Tamandua tetradactyla: one gene and its partner. The protein of the gene in region 1 purifies or fractionates together with the protein of each later gene. This does not show direct contact. Links are inferred from orthologs where the notes say so. Each region holds a gene or a part of one and is shown in the gene's direction. Other genes may lie near its edges. The genes, in order: WDR62 and CEP170.

The links.
Region 2: the proteins of WDR62 (region 1) and CEP170 purify together in Homo sapiens (affinity purification with mass spectrometry; 3 studies listed by BioGRID and IntAct, with this or other methods). This does not show direct contact. The link is inferred for Tamandua tetradactyla from reciprocal best matches to the Homo sapiens genes WDR62 and CEP170.

Annotation. Positions count from the first base shown.
Region 1 is NC_135342.1:29,895,231-29,899,142, reverse strand, and holds the start of WDR62 (WD repeat-containing protein 62), read left to right. Parts: upstream 1-1,069; 5' UTR 1,070-1,140; coding exon 1,141-1,317; intron 1,318-3,912. UniProt on the Homo sapiens protein: Required for cerebral cortical development. Plays a role in neuronal proliferation and migration.
Region 2 is NC_135333.1:14,520,420-14,524,331, reverse strand, and holds the start of CEP170 (centrosomal protein of 170 kDa), read left to right. Parts: upstream 1-1,149; 5' UTR 1,150-1,987; exon of another isoform or gene 1,988-2,126; intron 2,127-3,912. Other genes in the region: SDCCAG8 (serologically defined colon cancer antigen 8), read right to left, coding at 792-858.

The DNA of each region.
Region 1 (3,912 bases):
CCTGAGCAACTGAAGGATGGGGTAAGCTATTGAACAGGTGCACCTAAAAGCCTGGACCAACCTCACTTTTCCCTACAGAGCCGCCCTACCCCCACCCCTCCGCTTTCAGCAGTCTCCTTGTAGTACCTTTAGTTTATCGCCTACCCCCTGCTGTTTCACGCATCTGTACATTTGCAAGTTCGATGTTTACTTGCAGCCCGCAATACGGACTCTTCACCTTGCTAACTCCTACTTGTGACCCGCCTCAAGCTGGACCAGGTGCTCCGCCCCTCCCAGGGCCCCGCTTCCTATCAAGCCCCGCCCCACTCCTGCAGTCACTTGCGAAGCTCACTGGGCGGTTGCTGGAGCAGTTCGGAGCCCGGCAAGACCTGGGCAAGGCGGTCCAAGCCCTACTGAGTTTAGCCAGGTTAGCGGTCGCACTTTGCTCCTCGCGGGGGCCGCCGAACCCGGCCCGGCTCGCTCCCTCTCCGCCTGTCTCACGTGACGGCCGCTGGTCCCTCCTCACGTGTTGCAGCCGGAAGATGCCGCCTAAGACGCGCCATGCTGCCTTACCCGAGCTCCGCCTTCATCAAGTGGTGAATGGGGAAAGTACAAACATGCAAAGCCCGCCATTTGCTGCCCAGCTCTTTATTGCAGTGGCATCACAGCATTTCTGAGCCTGCGCCAACCAATTCGACTGGCTCGTCACTCTCTTTCGGCTCCACCCTGCGATTACACATCCGGGTGACAGTCACGGTGTGGGTAGTCGCCGTGGGTAGGCAGGCAGCAAAAAGCGAGGTGAGGCGGTTATGGCCTTACCCTTGCAAAAATTAAATCCTGTTTATTTCAGTGAATGATAAAAAGGCAGAATGGTCCAAAACCACCAATACGCTAAATCCGAGCATTAAGTAAACCCGAACCAAGGCCCCTTCCTTCCGAAGGCGGTGGCAGTAGCAATAGCCCCACCCTGTCCGAGGCTACGCTACTCCTTTAAGCCCTTATTGGTCGAAAGGGCCGCCCGGCAGCCCCGAGATTGGCTAAACCCGCGGCACGCCGTGTCCAATGGGCGCCGGCTCCGGCTTTCCCGCGGCGGTTCGCTATTCAAGTGAGTCGTGGCTGCGGCGGTTGGGCGTGTAACGGTCGCCCGGCCCCGGCGTGACGATGGCGGCCTTGGGACTCGCAGGCTACGCGCGGAACGACACGGGAGAGAAGCTGCCATCCGTCATGGTGGGGGTTCCGGCGCGGAGGAACCAGTCCTCCCCGCCCCCGGCTGCCCCGCTCTGCCTCCGGCGGCGGACTCGACTCACAGCGGCGCCCGACGATACGGTGCAGAACCGGGTGAGGATCTATCTGCCTTTCCCACCCCACTCCCAGCTCCCTGGGCCCCCGGGTCCAATGTTCAGCTCTTTGGCCACACCTATCAGCCTCCGACGGGTCCCCTCAGGTTTCTCCCAGCCCCGCCTCATCTACTAAGACCCGCCCCTTCAGAAAGGCTACTCCCATTTTTCGGTATCTTTTTCTCACGGGCGCTGCCCATCATTCCTGGCCTCGCTTCTCAACCCTTGGCCCCACCCACAAGCCTCTGGGTTGTTCCCGGCGTTCCTTTCCAGTCCCATCTCTCCGAACACCTTGTCTCTGCAAGTCACCTTCTCATCACGCTTTATGGGATTGAGCTCCAGTTGAACTTTAAACTCTCTCCCGAACTCCACCACTTTGTTGACCCCGCCGCGCCAGGTCTTTAGGGGTTTCGGCCCAGAGTCCTACCCGTCTCAGTCTCAGGTCTCCCCAGCCGTCCGTCAACCCCTGCCTTCTTCCTTTTCCCTTACCAAGATGGAATTCCATATGGCCACTCAAAACTATAGAGAGGATGCTAGTAATATTCTAAAAATCTCATCAGTGCCAGCTGCTGGGGATGGGGGTGGGGAGGGGGGAGTACAGAATACTTTCCTAAATCTTGAGTACAGAAAAAAAGAGGCGATTTTAGAATAGGTTGAATTTCCCCCAGCAAAGCAACATGTGTAATCTGTTTTCATAAACAATAACCTGACCATTATGTTTTAGGGAGATATGAAGAAATTGTGAATGTGACCTGCTGGGCATAGTGCATGGCATCAGATAAAGGGTGGATAAATGGTAACTGTTGGTGGACCTTGTTCCTGCTCAGTAGCTCCCTGCTATATTCCAAACATGTTGCCCATTCCTGCTTGCAAGCCCCTATGCAAGTGGGCCCCTGCCCACCTCTCTGGCTGTAGCTCCCCTGGCATCCCTCTTACCAAGGTTCAGTCACACTGACTTGTTCTCTGTTTCCTTGAGGCTCTCAGCTCTCTCCTGCCTTCCAGCCCTTGTGTTTGGGCCTTTTTGCTGCGGTCCAAAGCTAGCTCCTTATCTTTCAGGTCTCAGCCTGAATATTCTTACCTCCAAGAGGCCTTCTTGAATCCCAATCTAAAGCAGATACCCACCTTAGTCTCTCACCCAGCGCCCTGTTCTTCATGGCCCTTTCCTTGTATGTTCCTGAAAGTGCCTTGTGAGCTCTTAAACTATGTATAAATGTAGAGGAATAACAATAGCACTTTCAGAGTGGCCATATAGCAAAGTGGCAAAGAACACAGGTTCTGGACCTAGACTGTCTGGGCTTATGCTTTAATTCTATTCTTCCTAGCAAGTTAGGAACTTTTCTGTGCCTCTGTTTCCTCATCTGTAATGAAGATAAAAGTATTAATATGCCTTGTAGGGCATTTGTGAGGATTAAATGAGCTAACATACCTGAAGCACTTAGAACAACTCCAGGCACGTTGCAAGTACTCTGTTAGTACAGTTAGCGACTACTGTTATTGTTATTGTGTATTTTGGGCAGCACATCATTTATTTTTCTTTTGGCAGCACAGTGTAGATAAGCAAAAGATTGTCTAAAAATGATCAATTATACTACTGCCCAATAATGCTTAATGGTAAGTGAAATGACATGAGTGACAGTGCTGGACTGCCTGGTTAGAATCTTGGTTCTGCTCTTTCTTGAATGGGTAACCTGGGGCTAAAGTTACTTACCACTTCCGAGTATCCCTCTCCTTATCTGTAAGATGAGGATGGTGGTGACAATGGTAACTATGTTACAGACTTATTTAAACGTTGGATAAATTAATAGAGTTACAGGTATTTGAATAGTGTCTGACTTCTGATAAATGCTCAGTATTAACATTACTTGTTACCTTATGGTAACTTTTTAGTTCTGATACCATGGACTTGCCTAAGAGTGTTTTACTCTGTATAATTAGGAACTGATCTAAATATGAAAGTAGCACAATTCCAGTTAATCCCTACGCTGTAGGGATTGTAGTTAAATAGGGACTTGCCCGTTTCACCTACTTGCTTAGAGGGTTTTTAAATTTGAAATTCTAGACTGTGAGTTTGATGAGAAAATGGACAGGGTCCACTTTTGCTCAATGTTGTATCTCCATTACTAGGCCCAAAGTGCTGTCTTTGGAGCCAACCTACTTGGGTTTATATCCCAACCTTGCCGTTCCCCAGGTGTAGGACCTTGGGCCTCTAGTGTCCTTATCTGTAAAATTGTGGTGACAATAGTGCCTTCTTCCTTAGATTGTTATGAGCATTCAGGTCTTTAATCTATATAAAAGTATTTAGAAGTTTATTCCAGGGTCACCTTCTCAGTGAGGCTGTTTCCCCTTTCCCCTGTACTCTCAATCCCAATCCCTGCTTTATTTTCTCTATATTTGTTTTGTTCGTTTTCTTTGTTTTCCCTCCCCACCATCACCAGAATGTGAGCTCCAGGAAAGCAGGGCTTTTGTCTGTCTTCTTCACCACCTTGTACCCTTCATCTAGCAGTGTATTTCTCAAAGTAATGTTGAGAACAAACATTAGCTGCTGATAGCTTGACTGCAGAAGCTCAGTGAGTGTGTGTCAAATGCAGCAGAGACT
Region 2 (3,912 bases), on another chromosome or scaffold:
TCAAAATTACACAACTGAGTTTTCTAGAGTTTATGTAAGTTGTACAAGATGACAGAACCATCTGACACAAATACAACCATCACTTCCATAGATACTCACTAACAAGATATTGACCTAACAAGTGAATAAAGTTTCAGTTATAGTAACTGTGATAGGATTAATACACTTATTAATGTAGGTTTTGAAAGCAGATTCACACGTATTCAATATCTGGTTCTGCTACTAATCACCCGTGTGGCCTTTTGCATATAAAACCTGAATCTCGATTTCCCAAGTGTAAAATAGGGGTAATCAGTAGGTTGTTGCAAGTTTTAAATGCACTCGTGTTCTTCAAAAACCTAGACAACTAAATAGAAGGTTCTGTGATTAAAACAATTATGTGTTTCCCCACTCCATCCCGGCAAATAAATCACTTTCAGTCCACTATATCGGAATTTGAATGTGTAAAAAATGTGAATCAGGAAAGCACAGGATTAAAAAGCAAAGTATGAGAATTGGGCAAGAGTGGCATAAAACTTTCCAACAGTTTCTGTGGGCATTGGTTAAGAAAAATGGTCAACTCAAGATCAGGCAGTTTGTTGAGGTTACTAACGGGAATCAAGGAAACAACGCTGCTTAAATGTAAAAACAAAACAAAACTCTTTCATCCTTCCTCAAGGATCACGGCAACATCCATCTTCTTCTTCTGCAGCCTGGCTGGGGCCGAACAGAGGTGTTAGGAAAAACGCACCTGGTCATCCACGAGGCCCTGGGTACCAAGGGGCTAGGAGCAGAGATTCGGAGCAACTCACCCCGGAGACTCCGTTGATAGTGCCCCAAAATCTCCTCCAGGGCAGAGTTCCCCGGGGACACGGCCATGCACGGACCGAAGGCCCAGAGATGGGAACTACGTGGGGAAGTGTCCAGAGAACAACAGGCCTAGCGCCTAGAGAGCACCCGCCCTCTTCCTGCCGCGGCTGTCACTGTGGAGCGTGGAACCCAGTATGGAGCTCCTGGAGGCTCTTCCCACCCAATGGCCCTTACGGTGGACTTCGGGAGTTGCAGTCCCCAGGCTCTCGACCTGAAACTTCGAGGCACCTGAGAGCTCCTCCACAGACACTACAATTCCCAGAGGGCACCGCGCTCGGAGCTCAAACTTCGGCAGTTTGGCTGCAATAGTCCGTTGCCAAGAGACACCTCAGAGGCTCCGCCCGTTTCCTCCTGCCCAGCCTGGTTTAGTCCCGCTTTCATCTCATCCTTCCGCTGCTTGGACCACTTAACTGACGGAAAGAGCCCCCTGAAGGCCTCGACTGTTCGAAATGTTATACTATGCAGTTGACCCCTGAGGCTTCTCAGTACGCAAGTGAAAAGCTCGGGATTCTGTTTTGACCGCAACGTTGTAATAACGACCACATAAATTCTTAAGGAAAAGAAACTCTAGACCTACCGACCAGCCTATGTTGTGAAGGCGGCCGATACTACAAATCCTAGCATGCCCAGCGACCCGGCCTCCTCTTGGAGTTGGCGCACTGCCCGCAGGGAGCTGTAGTCCTTGTTGGTTGCGGTCCAAGCTACTGATAGGGTCCTCTTTATTGTTCAAGCCGCTCTTTATACCACGCCTGCGCAGTGGGCAGCAGCAAAAGCGTGTGGGTGAGACCCTCAGTTCAACGCCTTTTCATTGTCTCATTTTCGCGCTTGCGCAGAACTAAACTGTTGGGCCAGAGCAGGCGGAGGGAACAGGGCCCGGCCCTGCGCCCTTTCCCGTGGCGCCTGCGCACTAGGCTGCCGCTCTTTGCCGTTACCGCTATGTGTGAGGCGTGTGTAGAATAACGTTATTGCCCAGAGGAGCTGAGGGGCCCGGAGTTAAACTGCAGCGGCAGCATCGACGACGACAGCGACGACGACGACGACGACGACGAGGGGGTGGGGGGAGGACGGCGTGCTTAGAGACTCACGGGACGCGACGCGCCCCGCCTCCCCCGTCCGGTCCCTCTCCCAGCGGTGAGGGGTAAGTGATGCTGTCGGCTGCTTGGGTTAGGCGTTGCTGGTACAGCTACTGCCGCTGCTTTTACACATCCTTTTCCTGGAGAGCCTTGGGTTTGCGGCGGGGACTCGGGTTGCGAGGCCGGGAAGCGAGGGGGTCGCTTCCCGGAATCTCCGCGCGGCGCCGCGGCCGCCGCCGCCGCCACCCCCACCCTGGGGCTCGGCGGGGCCGCCCGTCCCATCCCCCACCCGAGCTCGCGTGGTTCCCCATCTCCTGTCCCTCCAGTCCAGTAGCCAACCTGGCCTTGCCCAGCCTCTTTTCCTCTGACTCTTTCCCTAGATGTATAGAATCGTTTTCAGCTCCCTCTCGGGCTTTGTGCAACCTTCCCCCCACACACCCCCCCGCCGCCTTAGCAGTGTGCGAGGGGCGCGAGCGGAGGAGGATCGGAGGGAATGGCCACGCTGCCTCCGGAGAAGGGGTTTTTCCCAGCCCGCGCCCCTCATCTGAGCGGCTAACAGTGCCGATCCTTTTTATTGGTTTTGGGGAGTGAGGCGACTGGGGGAGGTGGTGCGAGGTTGGACGCGGTTGACGGGCATGGAAGACGTGGTGTCACGCACCCTGGCAGGCGACTGCACTCCGCGTAGGTTCTGGCCCCGTGGTAAACCCTGGGGCGGAGAGAGGGGCTTCCTGTCGCCTTCATTGTCCTAACATTCGAATGTAGGCCTCTGGTATGGTTTTCTTCATTTTATGCAAAGGAAAAAAAAAAGATTACCAGTTGCCTAAAACAGGGCGGGAAGATTTGGGATTTGTATTCTCAGTCACGTAATCTGTTTCTGGTGTACAGTAGAGTGTTATTTATTTATTTGAAGACTGTAAGCTTCTGGAAGACAGGGTCTGTGCTTAGTGGAACCAAGCCCTGTAAAGGTGGTCAGTGTGTAAGATTGCTAGACAACGATGAAGACTGGGCTAGGAAGGCCCTGACAATGAAGCTTTTGTGTGGCAGGGAAATGAACCAGCAGAATTGTTTTTTCATTGGGTGGGTAATGCGTTCGTATTCTTAAGGGAAGGCATTAGAATAGATCTTTACGTCGTTTTGTTTTCTAAAAGCAATCAAATCAAAACAAAAAATAACCCTTGTATATTTTAATTTCTGAAGTGGTTACTCATAGTTTAATTCTTGTAATGAAAACTCAACTAAATTGGGAGGAATTTGATAAAGCAGATGATTGAAAATTTTTAAATGATCTGATTCTTACACTTACAGTGTTTACTGTAAGCACTCGCTGGCATTTGTAGTTACAGCAAGCAGAAGAGAGAATGAAGTAGGATGAGGAAAGAAGCAAGTGGAAGAAAAATGACATTGTAGGAGTTATATTCTGAATACAATTTCTAGATCTCTCCACTGATATAATCCAAGCTGGGTCTGCTTCAAAGATTTAGGAATACACCTCTGGAAATATTACACAATGAATAGCAAATTATACAACCATTTTGTAATTTTCTGCCATCATATTAAAAAAAAATGAAACCATGCTTTTGGTTCTTTCTAACTTCATAGATATTGTAGAAATTTTTGTGTTTTAAAACTGGAGAGTCTAAGTACTTTTGTCAGAGGAAGAAACTGAAACTTGAAAATTTACCTGACTTTTCCAACCAAGCCAAACTGCTAAATGAAGGCAGAGCCAAATATTACAAGGCTCTGATTTGCCTCCTCCTGAGGTCTGTACCCCTAGTCCTCCTACCCTGTGAAAAAGTATGGAAAGCTTTTCTCTGTGTGCTGTTTGAGTTGTGAGGATAAAGTTCATTAATAGTTCAGTTGTATTAATCTTGTCCTTTTCCTCGTGATGTTAAGGTGGTAATCCTACTAAAATAGAAATTTTATAAAGTAAATTACTGGTATAGGGAAAACTGCCCTAATGTGGGCTTTTCATAAAGATAGGAATCGTTGG